Pelodiscus sinensis: one gene and its partner. Each later gene encodes a partner of the first gene's protein in a complex. Links are inferred from orthologs where the notes say so. Each region holds a gene or a part of one and is shown on either strand. Other genes may lie near its edges.

Evidence for each region.
Region 2: the proteins of MUS81 (region 1) and EME2 are in contact, whole or in part, in a crystal structure (PDB 7F6L), measured with the Homo sapiens proteins. The link is inferred for Pelodiscus sinensis from reciprocal best matches to the Homo sapiens genes MUS81 and EME2. Residues at the interface, in NP_079404.3 of Homo sapiens: His330, Glu351, Phe354, Lys357, Arg358, Arg363, Val365, Glu381, Leu385, Gln386, Thr389, Asn390, Gln392, Val393, Ile394, Phe398, Lys400, Arg401, Tyr411, Leu414, Leu415, Arg417, Gly418, Leu419, Arg421, Leu422, Pro447, Ile464, Lys467, Ala468; in NP_001244299.1 of Homo sapiens: Glu140, Arg177, His179, Glu220, Glu221, Val224, Leu225, Gln227, Leu228, Trp229, Asn231, Leu232, Asp233, Leu235, Arg245, His246, Ala249, Val250, Lys252, Ala253, Leu254, Gln256, Tyr257, Lys260, Gln261, Glu264, Gln266, Phe268, Phe270, Cys271.

Annotation. Positions count from the first base shown.
Region 1 is NC_134721.1:32,560,644-32,572,258, reverse strand, and holds the start of MUS81 (structure-specific endonuclease subunit MUS81), read left to right. Parts: upstream 1-6,398; 5' UTR 6,399-6,646; coding exon 6,647-6,781; intron 6,782-6,998; coding exon 6,999-7,128; intron 7,129-7,593; coding exon 7,594-7,739; intron 7,740-7,997; coding exon 7,998-8,084; intron 8,085-8,268; coding exon 8,269-8,349; intron 8,350-8,619; coding exon 8,620-8,708; intron 8,709-10,943; coding exon 10,944-11,102; intron 11,103-11,460; coding exon 11,461-11,595; intron 11,596-11,615. UniProt on the Homo sapiens protein: Catalytic subunit of two functionally distinct, structure-specific, heterodimeric DNA endonucleases MUS81-EME1 and MUS81-EME2 that are involved in the maintenance of genome stability.
Region 2 is NC_134726.1:458,518-470,132, forward strand, and holds the start of EME2 (structure-specific endonuclease subunit EME2), read right to left. Parts: upstream 7,476-11,615; 5' UTR 7,301-7,475; exon of another isoform or gene 7,022-7,300; 5' UTR 7,008-7,021; coding exon 6,500-7,007; intron 4,189-6,499; coding exon 4,052-4,188; intron 2,423-4,051; coding exon 2,330-2,422; intron 659-2,329; coding exon 534-658; intron 1-533. Other genes in the region: MRPS34 (small ribosomal subunit protein mS34), read left to right, coding at 7,761-8,078, 8,680-8,722. UniProt on the Homo sapiens protein: Non-catalytic subunit of the structure-specific, heterodimeric DNA endonuclease MUS81-EME2 which is involved in the maintenance of genome stability. In the complex, EME2 is required for DNA cleavage, participating in DNA recognition and bending.

The DNA of each region.
Region 1 (11,615 bases):
GTGCTCTCCCCAAAACCAGTGCTCAGCTTGCTATGCCAGTAAACCCAGCATTAACATGCCCTGTGCATCACCTCAGAGGACACTGTGTCTCAGAAATAAGGAGGGAATCCTTGTATAAACAGGTCCTGTGCCCCACCTCAGGCGGCTGAGTCTCAAAGCTGGGCAAGTACTGAGGAGGGGTAGGGCTGTCTCCAGGCAGAAGAATATCTATCTCAAAGTATTAACTAAATGCTCCAAGATTATCCCCTCCACAGATCAAATCAACCACCTGTGTGTGTGTGGAGTGGGGGGGAGTATGACAGCCCAGTGGGTTGGGGACAGCTGGAGAGGAAGGATGATATGAAGCCAGGACAGTGGTTCCCATGGTGGGGGAGGTTGGTTCCCCTCCTTTCTCAGCATGACCCCTTGAAGTAGGGTGGCTGTTTTGGCTGGGACAGAACCATTTTAAGCCCTTCCCCAGCCATTTTTTGGCAAAAGCGGGCATTTGTCCCATTTGCTGTTGCTGACTTGATCAGTTGCCAAGAGCAAACAAGACAAAAGTCCACTTCTGTCAAAAACAGTGGAGAGAAATGTGCAGAGGAATGAGCAGCAATGCCAGCCCCCATGTGGGTGGGAGGCAGGGCTCAGGCAAGCAGCCACCCCAGCTGTGCACAGGGCTTGGGTGTGCAGCCACCTGGTCCATGTCTGGGAAAGCAGGCAGGGCTTGGGTGAGCCAGCACCAACCCCAGCTGTGCATGGTGTGTGAGCGGGAGGCAGGGCTCAGGTGGGCAGCCACCACAGCTGTGCACACTGGGGAGGAGTCAGGGCTCAAACAAGCAGCCATGGAGGAGGTGGGCAGGGTTTGGACAAGCCATCACCCCAGCTAGCCCCAGCTGTGTGCAAGGGGAAGGCAGCTTGGGTGAGGAGCCCCAGCCAGCACCATGGGGATGTATTCACATGTGCTTGAACCAGCAGCTTGGGCCAGTCCTGGGAGGGGAGTCTGGGGAGGCACTTAGTCTAGGCCCATACTCTGTCCTTTGGGAAATATGGTCACCCTGCCTTGAAGGCTCCAGCTGTATCATAAATCTACTCGCCAATATGTACATCCTTCTTGTCACACATATTCTGCTGCTTCCCTTAACCTCTTACCAGCCAGTCTAAAAACCCTTTAGCAGCGGACATGTATCCTGGGAGATCTTCCAGGGGGTATAGCAACTCATCTAGATATTTGCCTAGTTTTACAGCAGGCTACATAGAAAGCACTAGCAAAGTCAGTACAAATGAAAATTTCATACAATGACTTGTTTATACTGCTCTATATACCAACCACTGAAATGTAAGTACAATATTTACATTCCAATTAAATTGTATGGCAAAAATGAGAAAGTCAGCAATTGTTCAGTATAGAATCATAGAATCATAGGACTGGAAGGGACCTCGAGAGGTCATCGAGTCCAGCCCCCCGCCCTCAAGGCAGGACCAAGCCTCTGTCTAGACCATCCCTGACAGATGTCTATCTAACCTGTTCTTAAATATCTCCAGAGAGGGAGATTCCACCACCTCCCTTGGCAATTTATTCCAATATTTGACCACCCTGACAGTTAGGAATTTTTTCCTAATGTCCAATCTAAACCTCCCCTGCTGCACTTTGAGCCCATTACTCCTTGTCCTGTCCTCAGAAACCAAGAGGAACAAATTTTCTCCTTCCTCCTTGTGACACCCTTTTAGATATTTGAAAACCGCTATCATGTCCCCCCTTAATCTTCTTTTTTCCAAACTAAACAAGCCCAGTTCATGAAGCCTGGCTTCATAGGTCATGTTCTCTAAACCTTTAATCATTCTTGTCGCTCTTCTCTGGACCCTTTCCAATTTCTCCACATCTTTCTTGAAATGTGGCGCCCAGAACTGGACACAGTACTCCAGCTGAGGCCTAACTAGTGCAGAGTAGAGCGGCAGAATGACTTCACGAGTTTTGCTTACAACACACCTGTTGATACAACCTAGAATCATATTTGCTTTTTTTGCAACAGCATCACACTATTGACTCATATTCAACTTGTGGTCCACTATGACCCCTAGATCCCTTTCCGCCATGCTCCTTCCTAGACAGTCGCTTCCCATCTTGTATGTATGGAACTGATTGTTCCTTCCTAAGTGGAGCACTTTGCATTTCTCTTTATTAAACCTCATCCTGTTTACCTCTGACCATTTCTCTAACTTGCTAAGGTCATTTTGAATTATGTCCCTATCCTCCAAAGAAGTCGCAACCCCACCCAGTTTGGTATCATCTGCAAACTTAATAAGCGTACTCTCTATCCCAATATCTACATCATTGATGAAGATATTGAACAGTACGGGTCCCAAAACAGACCCTTGAGGAACTCCACTTGTTATCCCTTTCCAGCAGGATTTAGAACCGTTAACAACAACTCTCTGACTACGGTTATCCAGCCAATTATGCACCCACCTTATCGTGGCCCTATCTACGTTATATTTGCCTAGTTTATCAATAAGAATATCATGCGAGACCGTATCAAATGCCTTACTAAAGTCTAGGTATATGACATCCACCGCTTCTCCCTTATCCACAAGGCTCGTTATCTTATCAAAGAAAGCTATCAGATTAGTTTGGCATGACTTGTTCTTCACAAACCCATGCTGGCTATTCCCTATCACTTTATTACCTTCCAAGTGTTTGCATATGATTTCCTTAATTACCTGCTCCATTATCTTCCCTGGGACAGACGTTAAACTGACCGGTCTGTAGTTTCCTGGGTTGTTCTTATTCCCCTTTTTATAGATGGGCACAATATTTGCCCTTTTCCAGTCTTCTGGAATCTCCCCTGTCTGCCATGATTTTTCAAAGATCATAGCTAAAGGCTCAGATACCTCCTCTATCAGCTCCTTGAGTATCCTGGGATGCATTTCATCAGGACCTGGTGACTTGCTGACATCTAACTTTCCTAAGTGATTTTTAACTTGTTCTTTGTGTATCCTATCTTCTAAACTTACCCTCTCTCTGCTTGTATTCACTACATTGGGCACACCTCCAGACTTCTCGGTGAAGACCGAAACAAAGTCATTGAGCATCTCCGCCATTTCCAAGTTCCCTGTTACTGCTTCTCCCTCCTCACTAAGCAGTGGGCCTACCCTGTCCTTGGTCTTCCTCTTGCTTTTAATGTATTTATAAAAGGTCTTCTTGTTTCCCTTTATGCCTGTAGCTAGTTTGATCTCATTTTGTGCCTTTGCCTTTCTAATCTTGTCCCTGCATTCCCGTGTTGCTTGCCTATATTCATCCTTTGTTAGTTGTCCTAGTTTCCATTTTTATATGACTCCTTTTTTATTTTGAGATCATGCAAGATCTCCTTGTTAAGCCAAGCTGGTCTTTTGCCATATTTTCTATCTTTCCTACACAGCGGAATTGTTTGCTTTTGGGCCCTTAACAACGTCCCTTTGAAATACTTCCAACTCTCCTCAGTTGTTTTTCCCTTCAGTCTTGCTTCCCATGGGACCTTACCTACAAGTTCTCTGAGCTTATCAAAATCTGCCTTCCTGAAATCCATTACCTCAATTGTGCTGGTCTCCCTTCTACCTTTCCTTAAGATCATGAACTCTATTATTTCGTGATCACTGTCCCCTATACTGTCTTCCACTTTCAAGTTCTCAACTAGTTCCTCCCTATTTGTTAAAACCAAATCCAGAACAGCTTCTCCTCTGGTAGCTTTTTCAACCTTCTGAAACAGAAAGTTGTCTCCAATGCAGTCCAGAAACTTATTGGATAGCCTGTGCCTCGCTGTGTTAGTTTCCCAACATATGTCTGGATAGTTGAAGTCCCCCATCACCACCAAATCTTGGGCTTTGGATAGTTTTGTTAATTGTTTAAAAAAGGCCTCATCCACCTCTTCCACCTGGCTAGGTGGCCTGTAGTAGACTCCTAGCATGATATCACCCTCATTTTTTACCCCTTTTAGCTTAACCCAGAGACTCTCTACACAGCTATCTCCTACATTCATCTCCACTTCAGTCCAAGTGTGTACATTTTTAATATACAAGGCAACCCCTCCTCCCTTTTTTCCCTGTCTGTCCTTCCTGAGTAATAGTGTGCTGTGACACTTCTGTATTTTTATATCCGATTTTGTAAGAAAGCAGGTTTTTTTAGGTGAGGAGAGGTTAAAGTGACTGGGACTTTTCAGTTTAGAAAAGAGGAGACTGAGGGGGGATATGATAGAGGTCTATAAAATCATGAGTGGTGTGGAGAGGGCCGATAAAGAAAAGTTATTTATTAGTTCCCTAAATAGAAGAACTAGAGGACACCAAATGAAATTAATGGGGAGCAGGTTTAAAACTAATAAAGGAAAGTCCTTCTTCACACAGCGTGTAGTCAACCTGTGGAACTCCTTGCCAGAGGAGGCTGTGAAGGCTAGGATTATAATAGAGTTTAAAGAGAAGCTAGATAATTTCATGGAGGTTAGGTCCATAAAAGGCTATTAGCCAGGGGATAAAATGGTGTCCTTGGCCTCTGTTTATCAGAGGCTGGAGAGAGATGGCAGGAGACAAATCACTTGATCATTGTCTTCGGTCCATCCTCTCTGGGGCACCTGGTGCTGGCCACTGTCGGTAGACAGGATACTGGGCTAGATGGACCTTTGGTCTGACCCAGTACAGCTGTTCTTATGTTCTTATATGTGAGGGAAACTTGGGGCTACACAAGAAGACAAATCAAGACTCCTGAAAGGCTCTGGAAAGGTTGGGGCCACTGGCCCTATATCCTGGCCAGGGAGGATGGGGGTTGGACAGTGCTACCTGACCCTCCTGCTTGGTGGTTGAGATTGGGGGCGCTCTCACTACACTGCCAAGAAGGGGGAAAGCTAAACAAGGAGCTAAAAGGGAGAGATGCCACTAGTCTCTGTAGGCACAGAAACCCCCCCAGATCTGCCAGTCCTCCTCACTCCTTACCCACAGCCTCTTGCAACCAACCCCCCCACACCTCATGGCTGTGTCTACATTGGCGTGATCTTGTGCAAAAACTTGCTGCCTGTCTACACTGGCCGTGAGTTCTTGCTCAAGTACACTGACGTTCTAATGTATGAAATCAGTGCTTCTTGCGCAAGAACTCTGATGCTCCTGCTCAGGAATAAGCCCTCTTGCGCAACTGTTCTTGCGCAAGAGACCAGTGTAGACAGGCAACATGAATTTCTTGCACAAGAAAGCCCCATGGTTAAAATGGCCAGCAGAACTTTCTTGCGTAAGAAAGCGTCTACACTGGCATGGATGCTGTTGCGCACAAGCACATCTCTTGCACAAACGCACATGCCAGTGTAGACGCTCTCTTCTGGAAAGAGTTTTTGCACAAGAACTCTTCTGCAAAAGAGTTCTTGCGCAAGATCATGCCAGTGTAGACGTAGAATGAGTCCTAGTTCCCAGCCCCTTTGCTGCAGTACCATAACAAGGGTGGGCCGCTTGCCCTGGACACATCATAATCAGGGGCACAAAGATGCAATAAGTAAAAATAATAAGATACAAAAGTAAAGAGTGCAACATGTGCTAACCTAAGTCCCAGTTTATACGAGCCTGTCTCGAGGCCTGACAGGAAACGAAACAGTCATGCTGAAAGGCTCGCAAAGTCTCCATTTACACATTTTCTTGAGAGGCAGCAGGCTTCAGCTTGCTTCACTTTAAGCTGAATTTACACGGAGCGTTGGGCACATTGAGCCTTTACAGCATTACCAATGTTGAATACAGAAAACAGTTCACAGTGGATGCAGTGGTTTTTCAATGCACGTACATGCGAATACACTGTCAACACACTCAATGCTGCGTCAAAATATTAAAGGTATTTTGGTGCTAATGCTTGGCATAGGTATTTGATCCCCTACAACACTTTTCCATTCATAGACATTATAAAACATGTTCCTAATATTGAAAATATATTTGTTATATTACTATACTGTTGATTTAGTTGATTTTTCTTGACTTAAAGATACATAATTAGTAAACTAGAGACATTTTTTAATTTGGAGGAGAGGGGGCACATAATTAATATTTTGCCTGGGGCACAAAAATACCTAGTTATGGCACTGCTCTGTAGTGAGCACACTACCCCTCACTACCCTCCCTTTCTGAGCTGCGAGTAGAGCCCAGGAGTTCTGGCTCCCAGGGTTGGGATAGCCCCCCAGCCCTGCCTGTGTCCCCCACTCCCGGCCCGCGGCCTCCTGCTACCCCAGCCCCGAGTTCCAGGCGCCCCGCCAGCGCCCAGCTGCTCGCTCTGTTCCGAGGGGCACCCGCAGCGCTTTGGGCAGTGCGGGCTCTGCGCGTCTCCCTCGGGCCGCCAGGGGGGGCTGGAGTTCCCCACGCGGCGGACGCTCTGGCCCGGGAGTGTCCGCGCTCTACGATGCCCAGCTGCGAGGGGCGGGGCTAAGGGAAAGGGGGGAATCGCTCCCGGGTTGGGGGCGGAGGGTTCGGGGGAACCCATGAGTCCGGGAGGGGGCGTGGCCTGTCATCCCCCGTGAAGCGTGAGTCACCAGGGCCCCCCCCGGCCGGGGCAGAGGTCGAGCGAGGGGGACCCCCCCCCCGGGCTGGATCGGAGCCGGCGCCCCCTAGAGGAGCGAGGCTGCGAGTCCCGGGGCTGGGGGCGGGGGCGCTGCTCCTTGCCCAGCTCGGCTGCGGGATGGCGGCCCCACGGCGGCTGGGGCGGAAGAAGCCGGTGCCCGCCTGCCCTAACCCGCTCTTCGTGCGGTGGCTGACGGAGTGGAGGGATGAGGCTGCCGAGAAGGGCAGGAAGACCCAGTTCGTGTATGAGAGGGTGAGTCCTGGTTCCCAGACCTGCCCTCCTGCTCTGACCACTGCACATCACTCCCCTCCCTTTCCAGCTGGGACTAACGCCCAGGAATCCTGGCTCCCAGCCCCCTGCTCTATCTCGCTAGCCCCCACGGTACCCAGGAGTCCTGGCTCCTGTGCTGGGATCACACTGGGGGAGGATGAGCTGGAGGCTCCCTGTGTCAGTATCTCCTCTCTGCCAGGCCCTGAGCTCTCTTCGGAGGTACCCGCTGCCCCTGCGCAGTGGGCGTGAGGCTGCGATTCTACAGCATTTTGGGGATGGGATCTGCCGGAGGCTGGACGAGCAGCTGGAGAAGCACCGAGCTGAGGAGGGTAGGTGCAGAGCACCAGGGATGGGGTACCAGGGCTGAGGGGTCCCCAGGATGGCATGAATTGAAGGATGATGAGCAGGGGGCAGGCAGCCACACGAAGGCATAAGGTGCACCAGTGGTCCTAGATAGCAGGTTCCACTATCTTTAAGATCCTAAACAACTGTGGCAGATTTGAAATCAAATGCCAGTGCTTTGTTATTGTAGGGTCTCTCATATTAAATGGGAGGGTATTGTCTCCCCCTCCCTCCCATGGTGCCTGTCCTTGAGCCTAACAAGTGAGAGTCTGCTCCCTGGAAGGAGTCCCCCCCATGTCTCCAGCTGGAGGGTGGGGGAATGGTCTGGCTGAGGGAGGCTGGGAATAGGAGAAAGGACCTGTCCTTTAGGGGGCATAGGCTCCAATCCGGGCCCAGGGTAGGGGGACTGGCTGGTTGAGGGAGCACCTAACTTATTTCTTTTTGAACCCTAGGTGCAGAGGTGCTCTTTGAAACTGTGGGAGGGGCCAGCCCCTCCATGGGAGCACAGGAAAGTGATCCCCCCAGCACAGAGCACCACTCCCCCGATGACCCTTCTGCCTCACAGGACTCACTTGTGGACCGGGAGCCTCCCCCGATGGTGAGAGCACAGCCTCTGGCAGAAGGGCTTGGAACCAGGTCTCCTGGGATCTATCTGGCTCTGGGAAGAGAGTGGGGGGGTCTAGTGGTTAGGGAAGGGGGGTGGAGTTAGAATTCCTGGGTTCTAGCCCTGGAACTGGCTCTCTGAGATGCTGGGTAAGTCCCTGTGGGTTGCAGGGACAGGTGGGGGCTTGGAAGGACGTCGGTACAGTGAGGAGATCAGAGTGGGGACCCTGCTGATTCTCACTTCTCTTTCCAGAGGAAGCACCGTCCAGCCCGGGCGTACGTCCCAGCCCCACGCTCTGGGGGCTATGCTGTGCTGCTAGCCCTCTACAAGGACAGCATGGTAAGCCTGGAATCCTGGGTTCCATGCCCCTGTTCTGGGAGGGGAGTAGGGTCTAATGGCTAGAGCAGTGGGCTGGGAGCCGGCATCCCTGGGTTCTGTTCTTAGCACTGGGAAGGAAGTGGGGTTTGGAGCCAGGCTTCCGATGTTCTCTCTCCACTGCTGACTTCCCTGCTCCCCATTACAGAGCCCACACAGCCGGGGGTTCCTGACGAAGCCTGAGCTGCAACGGGCAGCTCAGCCGCTGTGTGACAAATCCTTCACCCTGGTGAGTGAGAGCTGCCGTGGCGTCCCCCAGCTGGCCCCTTTCAGTCCAGCACCATCAAACATTCCTCAGGAGGCTTGGAGTTGATGACAGGCACCTCTTATTGGGGGAGTGTTAGTCTTGATGAGCCATCAGTCCTGCCATAGAGATCTGAGCCCATCACTCCACCCCACCCCCTCAAGTTTCCCTACAGCCTCTACTTCCCCCAGTCTTGCCCTCCGGCTCAAGCAGGTCCCACCCAGAAGAGTCACATGGGGTATCTGTGTCTTGCAGGGTGACCCGGGAAATAGGTACACAGCTTGGGCATCGGTGGGCACCTTGATCCGCAAAGAGCTGGTGCTGAAAACCAATGTACCGGCCAGGTAGGGTGCTGTGCTGCAGGAGGCATGGTTCAGGGTTCGGGAGGGAGTGCTGGCCTTTGGAAGGGTGCTGTGCTGTGGGGAATGGGCTTCAGCAGGGAGTAGTGTGCTGCTGTGGGTTTTTGTGGGCATACCTTGGCCATTACCCAGTCTCCTGGGCGTAACCCCAGTGCCCAGAGGCCCACACCTTCCTTAAGGGCAGCTGCCAGCCAGGCAGCCTTAGTGACTCAGTGTGGGTCTCTCCTGAGCTTGCTGCAGCGACGCCAGGGTCTGTAGGGAAGCTGGGCAGCTTGGCCAGGCTGAGGGAGCATAATGTCGTCACCTGGGATCCAGTGTCGCAGGGCTCTCCAGCAGCCTGGGAAAGCCACACTTAAGAGTCCATGTTGGTAGCAGCAAATGCTTTGCCACATTCTGGTTCTCTGAGCTCCATCTTCACTCTGCCCATGCGGGCATCCTGTCTGATCACAGGAGCAACCTTCAAACCAGCCCCTTAACAGGTTGTTCCTTTGTTCCCGTGGGAGCCATTTGTCTGCCTTGCCCTTGTATCAGAGGCAGCAGCACACGGTGAGGGCACCACATGCCCCTTGCGGGGAGGGGAGAATTTGTGCGCTGCCTCCAGCCCAATCATTGCAGCTCCCTTTGCCCACCAGGGGTGCACAGCACCTAAAGGGACCTACCAGCCATTTTGAGCAGCCTTGGGCTGCAGCAGGCAAAGACTCTGTCTTGGAGTCTCACTGGGACAGGCCATGGGGTGGATCAAAAGGCCAAAGTCCTCCATTCCCTTCAGTAACTCAGCGACTAGGCACTGAAAGGTGGCAGGTTCTGTTTAGGCCAGAGGTAAATCCAGGGACTTCTAGAGTCCTGGTGAGGGGTGAAAGCACCTGGCACCCCCTTCTTGCCCTTGGTGCGGTCCATGGTGCCAAGGGGGCAAGCATCCCCTTGTCTAGAACCTCTTCCACTGGGGGCATGGGGGAAGCATCAGACACTGTGATTGCATGAGCCTTTCCCTAACCCTTTGCTGCTTGGGCTGTTGGGCAGCTGAAGCCCCCCAAGGGCAGCATGTTCCAGGTGGTGGGCAGTTTTTCCCCATGACTGAAAGGAGATGGGAAAGTTGCCTTCTGTCTCCACCTGGTGGACAGCTAGGCTGGTGCACCCTGGTCTGCTGGAGGATACCTGCCTGAAACATCACTGCTCTGTCTCCCCCTGCAAATCTTGCAGCTTATTCTACACTAGGATGAGTGTCATAAGCTGGTTCCCTAGTCTGTGTTACTGGGCATGTGCTTGCCTTCGGCCGGCCGACAGGGAAGAGAATCCGGCCTCTGGGTCCCTGTTACTTGAGCCTCACCTGTGTCCAGGCCCTGTCCCTCTTTTGGGGTGCAGCTCTTCCTGTGAGCTTAGTACCTGGATGCAGCACAGCCCCTCAGCCTGATCACCATGCAGACAGCCCCTGTCCTGAGGGGTGAGCCTTCTGGGTGCAACTCAGTGCTTGCAGGAGCCCCAAGGTGTCAGACACCTCCCAGACTCCCCTGCTGTGCTCTCTTTACCTCTTCACACCCAGCACAGAGCTCAGACCCAGCCTCCTGCCCACAGCACTAACCGCTAGCTCCGCCTTCCCTGGGGAGGCCTTGACCTGTCTGGGCTCTGACAAGGCTTCTGCCTCAAGGCTTCTCCCTCTGCTGGAACTGCTGAAAATGGCCCAAGCCTCCCAAGAGCTCAGCTCCCCCCTTTTATAACTGTCCAGCCTCCAGTGAAAGGGTCCCCTGACATCAGCTGCCCCAGGCGAGCCCGGCCCAGCCAGGTGACCTCGCTGCCCAGGCTGCTTCTGCCCCCCGTGTTCCCCATGACCCAGTTTTCCTGGGGGGCCAGTCTGTTGGCTGGAATGAGCCTGGTGCTGTTACCCCTTCGCTGCTGGCCTTGGGGATCTGCCTGCCATGGGGGCCAACAGGTGAAAGGCTGCACCTCAAGGGAGCGTCCCGCATGGGAAGGAGCCAGGCAGCGAGTGCCTGATCCTGCTCAGCGTGCCTGGATTGTACCCACGCGCTCCCAGAGGCCCAGTGGGGGGTTCAGCAGAGGGTGTTGTGCTGCCTGGAGGTCTGCTAGGGAGCAGGGCAGGGATTCAGTAGGAGTGTCGTGCTGCAGGGCCGGGGATCGGCATGAAGTGCCAGGCTGTGGGTACGGAGCGAGGGTTTAGCAGGGCGGCAGACGGGACACTGTACAGATGCCCTTTGCTCCCCGCAGGTTCTCTTTGACAGCGCAGGGGCTGGCGCTAGCCCAGAGGCTTGTGGCTGCAGAGCAGGCTCCGATTTCAGAGGATCGAGCCCCAGAATCTGAGATCTCCCAGGGTGCCCAACCCCCAGATCCTGCTGCAGAGGAGACACTATGCCTGGAGCCCCAGTTGTGAGTGCCTGCCTGAGGCGGGGTATACCCCCAGGGAGGGGGCAGGACTCCTGCAACACTGGGGCAGGACTGGAGTCTAGCAGGTCGGAGTGCAGGTGGTGGGAGTCAGAACTGCGGGGTCCTTGCTTTGGGAGGGAAGTGGGGTCTAGTGGTTGGAGCCCTCCCTCCATTCATTGTGGCTGGTTGGTCTCTCCAGACCCAGCCAAAGGGAGCGTTGCTGCTCACTGTAGCAGCGACTCCCAGCTTCCCCCAGCATGTGCTCTTGGGAGGCTGGGGGGTGGAACAGGACTTCCCTACCTTTGCTGGCCCCTCTCCATGGCTCTGCTCTCATTGTGCTGTCTGCCCCACTTTCCTGCAGGCTCGATGGCGCCCTGGGATGTCAGGAGAGGGCAGCGGGTGGCTCTGGAGTGCAGAGACCCCATGACCCTGAATTCGTACTGAGACCCGGCCAGTTTGACATCATCCTGTGTGTGGATTTCATTGAGACCATGGGGTGCGTTGGGGGCCCTGAGC
Region 2 (11,615 bases), on another chromosome or scaffold:
GAAAGCCACTGACCAGCAACTTCACAAGGTGCCGAGAAAGGCTGGATCCAGTGAAGGCATGCACCCCAATTTAAGCAGGAGCTCAGGGGAGCTTGCTAAAGCTCAGGATTAGTGAGTAGGGAGGACACCACAGCCTGTGCTGGTGTCCAGTGCAACTCCAGCCAGATTCGCCAGGCAACTCTGCCATTCCATCACGACCCTCGGCTTTGAGGAGCGGCAAATCACTGGGCTTAAAAACGCCCCATTTTCTGCAGTACAGTTGCAAAATGGCCCTCTTGCCCCTTGCAATGCAATACACTGTTGCTTGAGGCCAGGTGTACATCTGAGAACATGCATTTCTTTGCACAAGCATGTTTCTCACACATACAATGCCTGCTATGTGATACAGTGAGCTGCTGGCACGGCATGGTTTTTTGCAGCTACAATTTAGGCACTAAGATTTGAAGTTTATCCCTATATGTCTCTCTTCTGAAGATAGCCTCTTCCACACTCACTTATGTGAGCTTTCCAGCCACCTACTACGCAGATCATACCATGTGTAGGCGCAAAGTCCAATGACAGCCAGGCTGTAGGATTTTAGGGAGGGGCCCTCCAAACAGTCCAAAGGCAACAACTGGCTCAGATCAGGCCTGTTCCCTGATGGGGCTTCTCTTAAACTCTGAAACAAAACAAGCAAATCACAAATCTCTTTCTTCCTTCTCAACACCAAGTGAATGATGGTGTAGTGGGAGAACTGCGAGGTCAGCCTAGTCACTGGGAACAGATGGTAGCTTGGGCAGGGATCAGCTCTGATCTTAGTTTGGCTGCTGGAATGCAAGGCCACTGTGTCCTTTCTGCAAGCTGTACCCAACACTTGTTATAATCCCAAATTCCTCCCTCCTGTTCACCTTTTTGTTTATGCTTCCATCACTGATCTCCTCTTGAGCAATGTCTGTTCCAGCGTTCAGTTTTCTATAGCACCTGCCTGAATGTGATTGTTAACGCCCCAGGGTAGGGGCCTTATTTTCTTGGGACTATAGAAATAAAAGGCCACATGGGGCTTTTCACTAGGTGACTGGGCAACAAAATGGCAGATTAATTTTAACATTGATAAATGCAAAGTAATGTACATTGGAAAAAAATAATCCCAGCTATACATACAAAATGATGGGGACTAATTTAGCTATAACTACTTAAGAGAGAAATCTTGGAGTCATTGTGGATAATTCTCTGAAAACATCCACTCGATGTGCAGCAGCAGTCAAAAAAGCAAAGAGAATGCTAAGAATCATTAAAAAGAGTTAGCGAATAAGACAGAGAATATCTTACTGTCTCAGTGTAAATCCATGATACACACACATCGTGAATACTGCATGCAGATGTGGTCGCCTCATCGCAAAAAAGATAATCTCGGCATTGGAAAAAGTTCAGAAAAGGGCAACTAAAATTATTAGGATTTTGGAATGGCTGCCATATGAGGACAGATTAATAAAACTGGGACTTTTCATCTGAGAAAAGAGAAACTAACTGGGATTATGATAGAAATCTATAAAATCATGATCAGTGTGGAGAAAGTAAATAAGGAAAACTTATTTACTTGTTCCCATAACAGAAGAACTAGGGGTCACCAAATAAAATTCATAGGTAGCAGATTTATAACAAACAAAAGGAAGTATTTATTCACAAAACACACAGTCAACCTGTGGAACTCCTTGCCAGAGGATGCTGTGAAGGCCAGGACTTTAACAGAGTTCAGAAAAGAGGTAGATAAATTCACAGATAGGTCCATCAATGCTTATTAGCCAGGATGGGTAGGAATGGTGTCTGTAACCTGTTTGTCATAAGCTGGGAATGAGTGACTGGGAAGAGATCACTTGATGATCACCTGTTATATTCATTCCCGCTGAGGCATCTGGCATTGGCCACTGTTGGAAGACAGGATACTGGGTTAGATGGACCTTTTGTCTGACCCAGTGTGGCTGTTCTTACATGTTCTTATCAATAACTAGTTGCACATCTCTTTTGTTTCCAAAGATTATGCTTCTCAAATTGTGTGCTTTGAAAGTTTCCTTTGTGCAAATATTTGAAGCATGGCTCTGAGTATGCAAACACTAACACATACAAAGTGATGGATTTGGCTAAAGCAACAGTCTGTCAGAACTTCCACTGCTCTGCTCAATAAGATGCACTATGCTCAGACAGGCTTTGTATATTCTACTCCACAGCTCTCTATTCACATTTGTGCATTCTGTAATATAACTCTAGAATAACTCCCTTCCACTTGTGTTACTGTTAAAAGGCAGCTTTCCCCAGACTTCTCTTTAGACCCAGATTTGAAAATGTACTCTACCTGAGTTACAGACAAAAGACGTTTGAGAAAGTCCCTTGGATCTACCAGCAGCACCACCTCATTTTCCTCTTCGGACTTCACCAGGGTATCATCCTAGGGGAACAGAAACAACTTCTGATAGGATCTAGGCAATCACTTTTCATTTCTTGAAACCAAGCATGCCCAAAATGAAATTAAGTTGCCAGGTCTCAGCCCAGTTATACCATCTGGAATGGAATGACGTAATGGCTGAAGTTAGACCTGTAAAAGGCAGATAACATAAATACAGAGCACTGAGGGTGCAGAGAACAGAGCAGGACACCTACAAAATTCATCAACCTAGATAGAGATGTTCAAACTGGACTTGGCTGTACTGCAGCCTGTGTTATCACCTAATTTAGTTCATTGGAGATATTCAGAAAGGGGAAGACCCCATCAAGGGGAGAAAGTAAGCAAAAGATTCACACTACATCTGCACTGCACACCATATCAGTGAGTTACAGCAGTGCTTCTCAACCAGTGGTATGAGTACCCTTAAGGGTACGCAAGAGAAGTCGGGGGGGGGGGGTACGTTAACACAACTGAAATTTGGAGAAAACTTAATTTTTGTTTTAAGTTTTACAGCGCTTTATTATTTTTGTACTTTTTACACCCAAAAATATCATCGCCTGCCCAGCTACAATTAAGTTATTTAAACAAATGTGTTGCAATGGTAGAAAAAAAATGTGTGTGTCTGAGTGTGTGTGTGTGTGTGTGTATTTTTTTAAAGGGACTACTCATAATTATTTTTTTTGAAAAAGGGGTATAAAAATTTTTGTATAAAAAAAAGTTTGAGAAACACTAAGTTACAGCACCAGCCAGCTCTTATACCCCAAAACATTTAAAACTCTGGTCATCTGAAGAAGTGGGCAGTGCCCACAAAAGCTCATGATCCCATCTACATGCTTTGTTAGTCTATAAAGTGCTACCAGACCATTTTTTAAAATGTATCTTGTACACTGTACAGACTAACTTGGCTACCCCCTGAAGCTTCTGAACATTTAAAGGGTTACTCAGACAACCAGTCATCAAAGTACAGGATTGCTCTCAACTCAGCAACCTGAAATCCTTGTAATGGACATGGGAATAAACAATGGTGCTGCACTGACCATTGCAGTTTATCTGCAACATTCCTCATTTGGCATCAAACAGAAGGTAACTTCACTCCTTAGGATTTCCAACAGCCTGCATTCAGAAACAGCCACAGGATTTTCTAAAGAGCTCACGGGCTTCCTTTAGTAGCAAGGGAGCCTACTGTTTTCCCCAGTGGTGCAGTTCAAATCATCATTGGCCATCAAGGACGCCTCGCAGACACAGAATTCTTTTTAGAAATCTTTTTCAACTAGTTATCTGAAACCTCTCCATGATCAATGGCTCCCCTGACCTCCATCCTTTTGGCTGCAGACATTCACAGTCCTTCCTGGATGTGTATGTGTTTGAGAAAATGACAACCAGTTGCATGAAAGTCACTCACTCAGAAATAAACTATAGGTCAATGAGACTCAAGTCCATTCCCTGAGCTACCAGTGACCTGAGACTGATGACCCCGTAGCCCCGCCCAGAAAGACAAGTGGAAATGCCCGCACTAATAATTAATGCAATTCAAAGCTCCTTTCCCACAGCATAGCTGTTATCAGTTTAAAAGTATAAAGCAGATGAGGAAGCCCTCCAGAGAGTGAGGACAGATTGGATTCAGATACTTACAACACTGGAGAAACCGTTAGGAGTGTTTCGCCTCCAGGTTATGCTGCAGGGCACTTCCTGAGGCTCAATGTAGTAGTTACATTCCAAGGAATCAAAAGCCTTCATCAAAGCATCTGACCCAGGATCTTCTAATAGACCTGAGGGGAAAGAGAGCCCCTGAGGAGGTCAGAGAAGGGGGTCTCTACCCACATGCTGTCCTTGCCTGTGGACACCACTCCAGCAGCTCCCATTGATCAATAATGGAGAGCTGTAGCCAGTGGAGGCTGTGGGGCTGGTGCCTGTGGACGGGAGGACAGCACATGGAGCCACTGCTTCTGGGGGTGGTTGTGGGGCCAGAGCAGGGGTGGGCCTGCCTTGGCTCCACTGCCAAGGCAGTGACCTCAGAGAAGGAAAGGGAGTGGTAATAAACAGTAACTAAAAGCCACACAGAGGAAATGATTGTTGTAAAATCCTGACTGAATATGAAGAAAGTAAATAAGGGAGTATTGTTTGCTCCTTTTCATAATACAAGAACTAGGGGTCACCAAATGAAATTACTAGAGCAGAGTTTGGAACAAACAAAAGGAAGCATTTCTTCACACAATCCACAGTCAACCTGTGGAACTATTTGCCAGATAATGTAGTGAAGGTCTGTCACAGGATTTAAAAAAAATGCGATATATTCACTGAGGATAGGTCCATCAATAATTATTAGCTAGGATGGTGTCCTTGGCCACTGCTGACCAGAAGCTGGAAATGGGCAACAGAGGTTGGATCACGTAATGGTTACCGGTTCTGTTCATTACCTCTGGGGAACCTGGCCCTGGCCACTGTCAGAAGACAGGGTACTGGGCTAGATAGACCGAGGATGGCTGTTCTTATGATTATTTCAAGCTTGAATACTGAATAGAGCAGTATGCTGCATATCACCGCATTATCTCATAGAGAAATTTGCAGCACACAGTTTATTACAACCAGCACATGCAGGGGCACTTACAATTAATTTTGCCTTACTCTTCCTGTTAAAAGACCCTATTTACAGTTGTTTGTAACTTTGCCAATCTTAAAGCATACGGAGATGAAATTTTCCACCTCTGGAGTCTGTCTCAAACTGACTTTATAATGGGAAGTTTCAGCAAAAATAGTTTAGACACTTCCAAGAACAAAACTAGGAAAAATGCATTGTTTACCCATGTTAGAAATGTTCCTATAACCATTTTAATTGGGATGCTTGTATGTCCTCATCCTTCATCACAGGGACTTGAAATTTTGTAAGAGAGTTACTCTACGTGTCAGGGATGGACATGCCTTTTGTTATCCTGTGAAAATTCACCTAATCTGCCCAAGTCATAAACCTCCAAAAAAGTCACAATTAGCACATGTTCAGGAGAGACTTGCCTGTGTTTAGCACCTAAGAATGTCCAAAGATTCCATCTGCCTTGAGCATGCTTCATCTCCTCACTGCTCCTACATGCCAATGACCTACGCACATGCCATCATTGTGGAACAACTGAGCATGCTGCCTTTTGTCTGTTGCTGACCTGCAACTGTTGTGGGACACTGTGCCATAGGAACTAAGCTTTGTTTCCCCTGCTGGCAGCCAGCAAAAAGGAGGGAGAGGAACCCACTTGACTCTAATGCAGAGGGGAGAGAAAAAAGAGAGGGGACAGAGGCAGGAGCAGAGTAGGAGGGGAAGATAGGCATATAGGGGATATTGGCCGAAACTGGGAGGAAAACAGGCAGGAACTAGAAAGAATAGCATCAGGAGGTGAAAGGGGCTTGAGTTGGGGAGGGTTAACAGAAAAGTTGGAGAAGACCCAGACAGAAGAGTTACCAATAAAATATAACCACTAGAGAATGCTCTCTTACAAAGCCTGCAACTGAACCTATTATTCCTGAATCTCAGCATTCCTCTATTGTCCGGAAAATAGCTGTAAAACCCACCAGCAAAGTGGATCTCCATCCCCCTCTACTGGCAAGTCCAACTGAAGATACAGCCTTCTCCTGGAATCAGTTACTCTGTTAGCTTAACTAGTAGTGCACTGTTCTTTTAAACAGGGAGGAAGGAGAGAAATACATTGTGGGAGGCTGACGTACACAGAACCATTCATGACAATATTTTTGTCCCATCAGGCATTGGGCACCTAATTCAAATGGGCTGCAGAACCGGTGGAATAGCTACCCACAGTGTATTGCTAGTATGGCTGAAGGTAGCTTTGGTAGTGGGGTTGCATTCTGTTGACTTCATTTGCCTACTGAGGACATGCACCTTCGACTTTGTAAAATCAAATGCTAAAAGTTGACTTCAATACATTTGGCCTAATTTTGTAATGTAGACGTGCCATGAGAGAGCAGTGCCTCCCAGTTTAAATTAATCTCCACCTTCATAGTAGAAAGTGGTATTAGCACAGTGAGATCCTTAGAATAAACACTAGAAAAAAAATTAAAGCTAGTTCAGAGATTGTCTACCTGGGTCTATGCAGACAGTCATGTACTTCAGACATTGGTCTGGTCGAAGCAGCTTCAAAGTATCAAAAGCTTCCCTTCGCCTTTGTTTTTCTAGTACCTCCTGTGCTTTTCTCCTTTCTTTTTCTGTCTTTCTGATTTCCCTTTTAAGTTTCCTTGATTCTGCTCTTGCCTGACAGGCCTTTATATCTGCTGGAATTCTCTTCATTATATTTTGGCTTGGAGAGGATGTAGCTACTTGTTGAGGAGAAGCTGGCTCACTAGCACTCAGACAGCTTTTCAGGTCTTCTTGTACAGCATGATCACAAATGCCATGATCCAGTGTGTCAGCAGTTGGGTTCATCAGGGTAACAGTTTCTGTTTGATGTGATTCAATATCACTGTCTGCATCAGAATCTGAAATTTCCCAGGCAGCAGCTCTTTTGAAAAACCTGTTGATTTTGCCATTGGATTGATTCTTCGACTTTTCCTCCATGGTTTTATTTTTCTCTTCTGCGTTTCTAATTACCATTGTTGCTTAAAAGGCTGCTTAGAAAATGCAGAGTCACTTGATATTCCATGCCAATTTCTAATATATAAAGCACTAGTACACATTTATTTTTAAAATATTTACCCTTTGTTCAGGTTCGTTTTATTTATTTTAATTGCAAATAAAGTAAGAATCATTAAAAATAGAATTTCCTTTCATGGTTAGTAAAATCTAGCTTAGGACAAACAAGCAGCTCAGCGATAGGATGTAGCTTTCACGTTGAGTCCAGCACTCTCTGAACTCCACACCAGCCGGACCGGCTCTGACAAACTCACCAACTACCAAGCAAGCAACTGGCCTGGCGAGTCATCGGATCCCAGTGTTTCCGCAGAGCAGGCCCCTACACCCGGAGGTGTCGCGGGGAGGCGAAGGCTGCGCGCTCCTGCCGCTGAGCGAGCCGGGCCAGCGCGCGAGGGCGGCAGCCGCGGGGCGCAGAGAGTCCGGGCCGGATCCAGGCGGGGACGCGCCCCAAGCCCCGCCCCGAGCCCGCGAGGGAGGCCCCGCCCCGCGCCGCGCGGCAGGTTCCAGGGCCCGGCGGGCCGGATCCAGGCGGGGACGCGCCCCGAGCCCCGCCCCGAGCCCGCGAGGGAGGCCCCGCCCCGCGCCGCGCGGCAGGTTCCAGGGCCCGGCGGGTCGGATCCAGGCGGGGCCGCGCCCCGAGCCCGCGAGGGAGGCACCGCGCGGCGCAGAGCGTCCGGGTCGGATCCAGGCGGGGACGCGCCGCCAGCCCGCGCCATGGCCCGCAAGAAGCTGCACCGCCCGATCGCCGCCCTGGCCAGGAAGATCCGCGAGTACCGCGCGCTGAAGAGCCGGCCCCGCGACTCGCAGCGCTTCGCCCTGGATTACGAGACCATGGCCCGGCCCTTCACCGGCAAGCGCCTGCCCGTGCTGGCCTGGGAGGACGCGAGGCGCGAGAGCCGCCTCTTCGCGCTGCTCTGCCAGCGGCCGCTCTTCGGCCTGGGCCGCATGGTCACCCGCAAGGCCTGGCTCTGGCAGTACGAGGAGCCCTGCTACTGGCTCATCACCAGGGTCCGGGTGGACTACACCGCCGAGGTGAGCGCCGGCCCGGGGCGTGCGGCCCTGCCCGGGAGCTGGCTCCCCGGTCACCGTCGCGCCCGATTCAACCGCCTCCGCAGCGTTCACAGTCTCGCTGCCTGGCCCCGGAGCCAGACTCCCGACCCTCTTCTCGTGTGCGCCCGGGAAGCACCAGAGCACGGATTGCCTCAGAGGAGGCACCGTGTAATGAAAATCAGAGAGACTAGGATAGTGCTTGAGCACTGCAGACACCGCAGGAACGTCCCGAGACACGCTGATTAGTAGTGTGTGTGCTGTAGATTATGCACGTACGTAAGGATCTGGGCCTTAGTGGGGGACCTGTATTTGTATTGAGTCATTATAGAACTGAGAGCAGACAGTATATAGTACTCAGACAAATTATACTGCATTATTTATCACAACGTTAATTGCACAGGTTGTATAATGGCATTTGTTCAGTATTCTAGAAGAACACTAGTAGCCACAATTAGCAGTTATTGACATCAACTCACTTTTTGTGGCTCATGAGTAGTAAGACTATAAAAGGAGTTTCTCCTTGTGAATAGCATTGGTTCTTTAAGTGAACTGAGCACATTTTTGTTTTGTTTTTTCTTTGCAGAACTTGGATCATGGGAAAGCCTGGGGATACCTAACATTCAGAGGTAAATAGAGCTTGATGCATGCCTCACAAGCAGGATTAGAGACAAAAGTTAGCGTATAGGGCTAGGGGCCAACATAACGGCCAAACTGGGTCAGACACAAGGTCCATTTAGCCCAGTATCCTATCTGCCAACAGTGGCCAATACCAGATACCCCAGAGGGAGGGAACAGAACAGGTAATTATCACATGATACCTTTTCTACCCTTCCTAGCTAGCTTTCATGGAGGTTAGGTCCATCAATGGCTATCTAGCTTTTTTTTTTTTAACCGTTTTTTAAAGCAGTTTGGTATCATCTGCACGTTTTGCCACCTCACTGTTTATCCCTTTCTCTAGATCATTTATAACTAAGTTGAATAGGATGGGTCCCAGGACTACCTCTCTCCACTCTGAAAACTTATCATTTATTCCTGCCCTTTGTTTCTTGTCTTTTAAACCAGTTATCAGTCCATAGAAGGACCTTCCCTCTTACTCTATAGCAACTTTTACTTTACTTAAGAGACTTTGGTGAAAGACTTTGTCAAAGGCTTTCTGGAAATCAGTCTACTATATCCACTGGATCCCCCTTCTCCACATATTTGTTGACCCCCTCAAAGAACTCTAGTAGATTAGTAAGGCACAATTTCCCTTTACAGAAACCATCTTGACTTTTTCCCAACAAATTATGTTCATCTATGTGTCTGGCAATTTCATTCTTTATTATAGTTTCAACTAATTTGCCCAGTACTGATGTTAGATTTACCAGTCTGTAATTGCCAGGATCAGTGCTAGAGCCCTTTTTAAATATTGGCATCACATTAACTATTTTCTAGTCATTAGGTACAGAAGCCAATTTAAAGGATAGCCTACAAACCATAGTTAATAGTTCTGCAATTTCACATTTGAATTCTTTCAGAATTCTTGGGTGAATGCCATTTAGTCCCAGTTACTGTTAAGTTTATCAATTTGTTCGAAAACCTCTCTGACACCTCAGTCTGGGATAATTCCTCAGATTTGTCACCTAAAAAGAATGGCTCAGGTTTGGGGATCTTCCTAATAACCTCAGCCATGAAGACTGAAGCAAAGAATTAATTTAGCTTCTCTGAAATGACTTTATAATCTTTGAGTATTCCTTTAGCATCTCGATCATCCAAGGGTCCCACTGGTTCTTCTATGCCCACGAAAGCTCATGATACCATCTACATCTTTTGTTAGTCTTTAAGGTGCTGCTAGGTTATTTGTTGTTTTTTAAGTATTTCCTGCTATGTTAGACTCTTTGCCTCATCTGATCTGACCTATACTTCCATCCTGTATTCCTGACTAGAACATAGAGAATCTTTATTAATAGACCCTCCCCCTATTAATAGACCCTCCCCCTGTCTGATTCATGTGCTCCTCCACCCCTTAGTTTAAAAACTGCTCTACAACCTTTTTAACATTAAGTGCCAGCAGTCTGGTTCCATTTTGGTTTAGGTGGAGTCCATCCTTCCTGTGGAGGCTCCCCCTATCCCAAAAGTTTCCCCAGTTCCTAATAAATCTAAACCCTTCCTCTCTACACCATCATCTCATCCACGCATTGAGCATCTGAAGCTCTGCCTGCCTACCTGGTTCTGCGTGTGGAACTGGAAGCATTTCAGAGAACGCTACCATACAGCTCCTGGATTTCAATCTCTTTCCTAGCAGCCTAAATTTGGCCTCTAGAACCTCTCTCCTACCCTTCTCTGTCATTGGTACCTACATGTATCATGACCACCAGCTCCTCCCAAGCTCTACATATAAGTCTATCTAGATGTCTCGAGAGATCCGCAACCTTCGCAAGTCACCATACGGTTCTCCCGGTCATCACAAACCCAGCTCTCTCTGTTTCTAATAGGGCTGTCAATTGACATTCATTAATGCCTGCGATTAATGTGATGAAGTGCCGCTGCAGCGCTTCAAAGGGGCAGCGCAACATGGAGCATGGGATCAAGTGAGGACTCCCAGCTGACCCCGGGCTCCACTGCCCCTTTGAAACACACGGGTTCCGGGGAGTTCCCAGCTGACCCAGGGCTCCATGGATGCCCCTTTGAAATGCTGCCTTTGAAGTACTCCCCCCCCTCCTTTTGCTGCCTCTAGAGGCAGCAAAGGGAAGTGGTGGGGGGTCGACTAGTCTTTAACTTCCCTACCGGGGATCAGCTGGAGGGCCCAGCTAATCCCCGGCTCCATGTGGCGCTGCTGGTGCTTCAAAGGGGCAGCACAATGTGGAGCTGGGGATCAGCTGGACACTGCAGCTGATCCTGAGCTCCTAATGTGCTGCCCCTTTGAGGCGCTGGGGTGGTGTTTCCAAGGGGCAGTGCAACATGGAGCCCAAGATCAGCTGGGGACTCCAGCTGACCCCGGCCTCTGCCTTGTGCTGCCCCTTGGAAACTCTGCCCCGGCGCTTCAAAGATGCAGCACATTAGGAGCCCGGGCTCAGCGGGGGATTCTAGCTTATCCCGGGTTCCATGCAGCGCTACCCTGTTGAAAGGCCGCGGCTGCGTTTCAAAGGGGAGGCGCACATTTAATCGTGATTACATTTTTTTAATTGCTTGATAAGCCCTAGTTTCTAATGACTGAATCCCCCATTACTAGCACCTGCCTTTTCCTAATGACTGAAGTTCCCTCCCCTGGAGAGGTATCCTCAGTGCAAGAGGATACCATAACATCATCTGGAAGGAAGATTCCAACTATGGGATTATTTCCCTCTGCACCAGTTGACTGTTCTCCTTCCCTGAGCCTTTCAACCTCCTTAACAGCACAGGGGCTGTCTGACTAGAGATGGAAAGCCTCATCTGCGTACCTCTGTGCCTTCCTTAGCTCCTCCAATTCATCCACCCTGGCCTCCAAAGCACGTGGTCTTTGAGGGCCAGGAGCTCCTTTCACCGAATGCACACATGCCC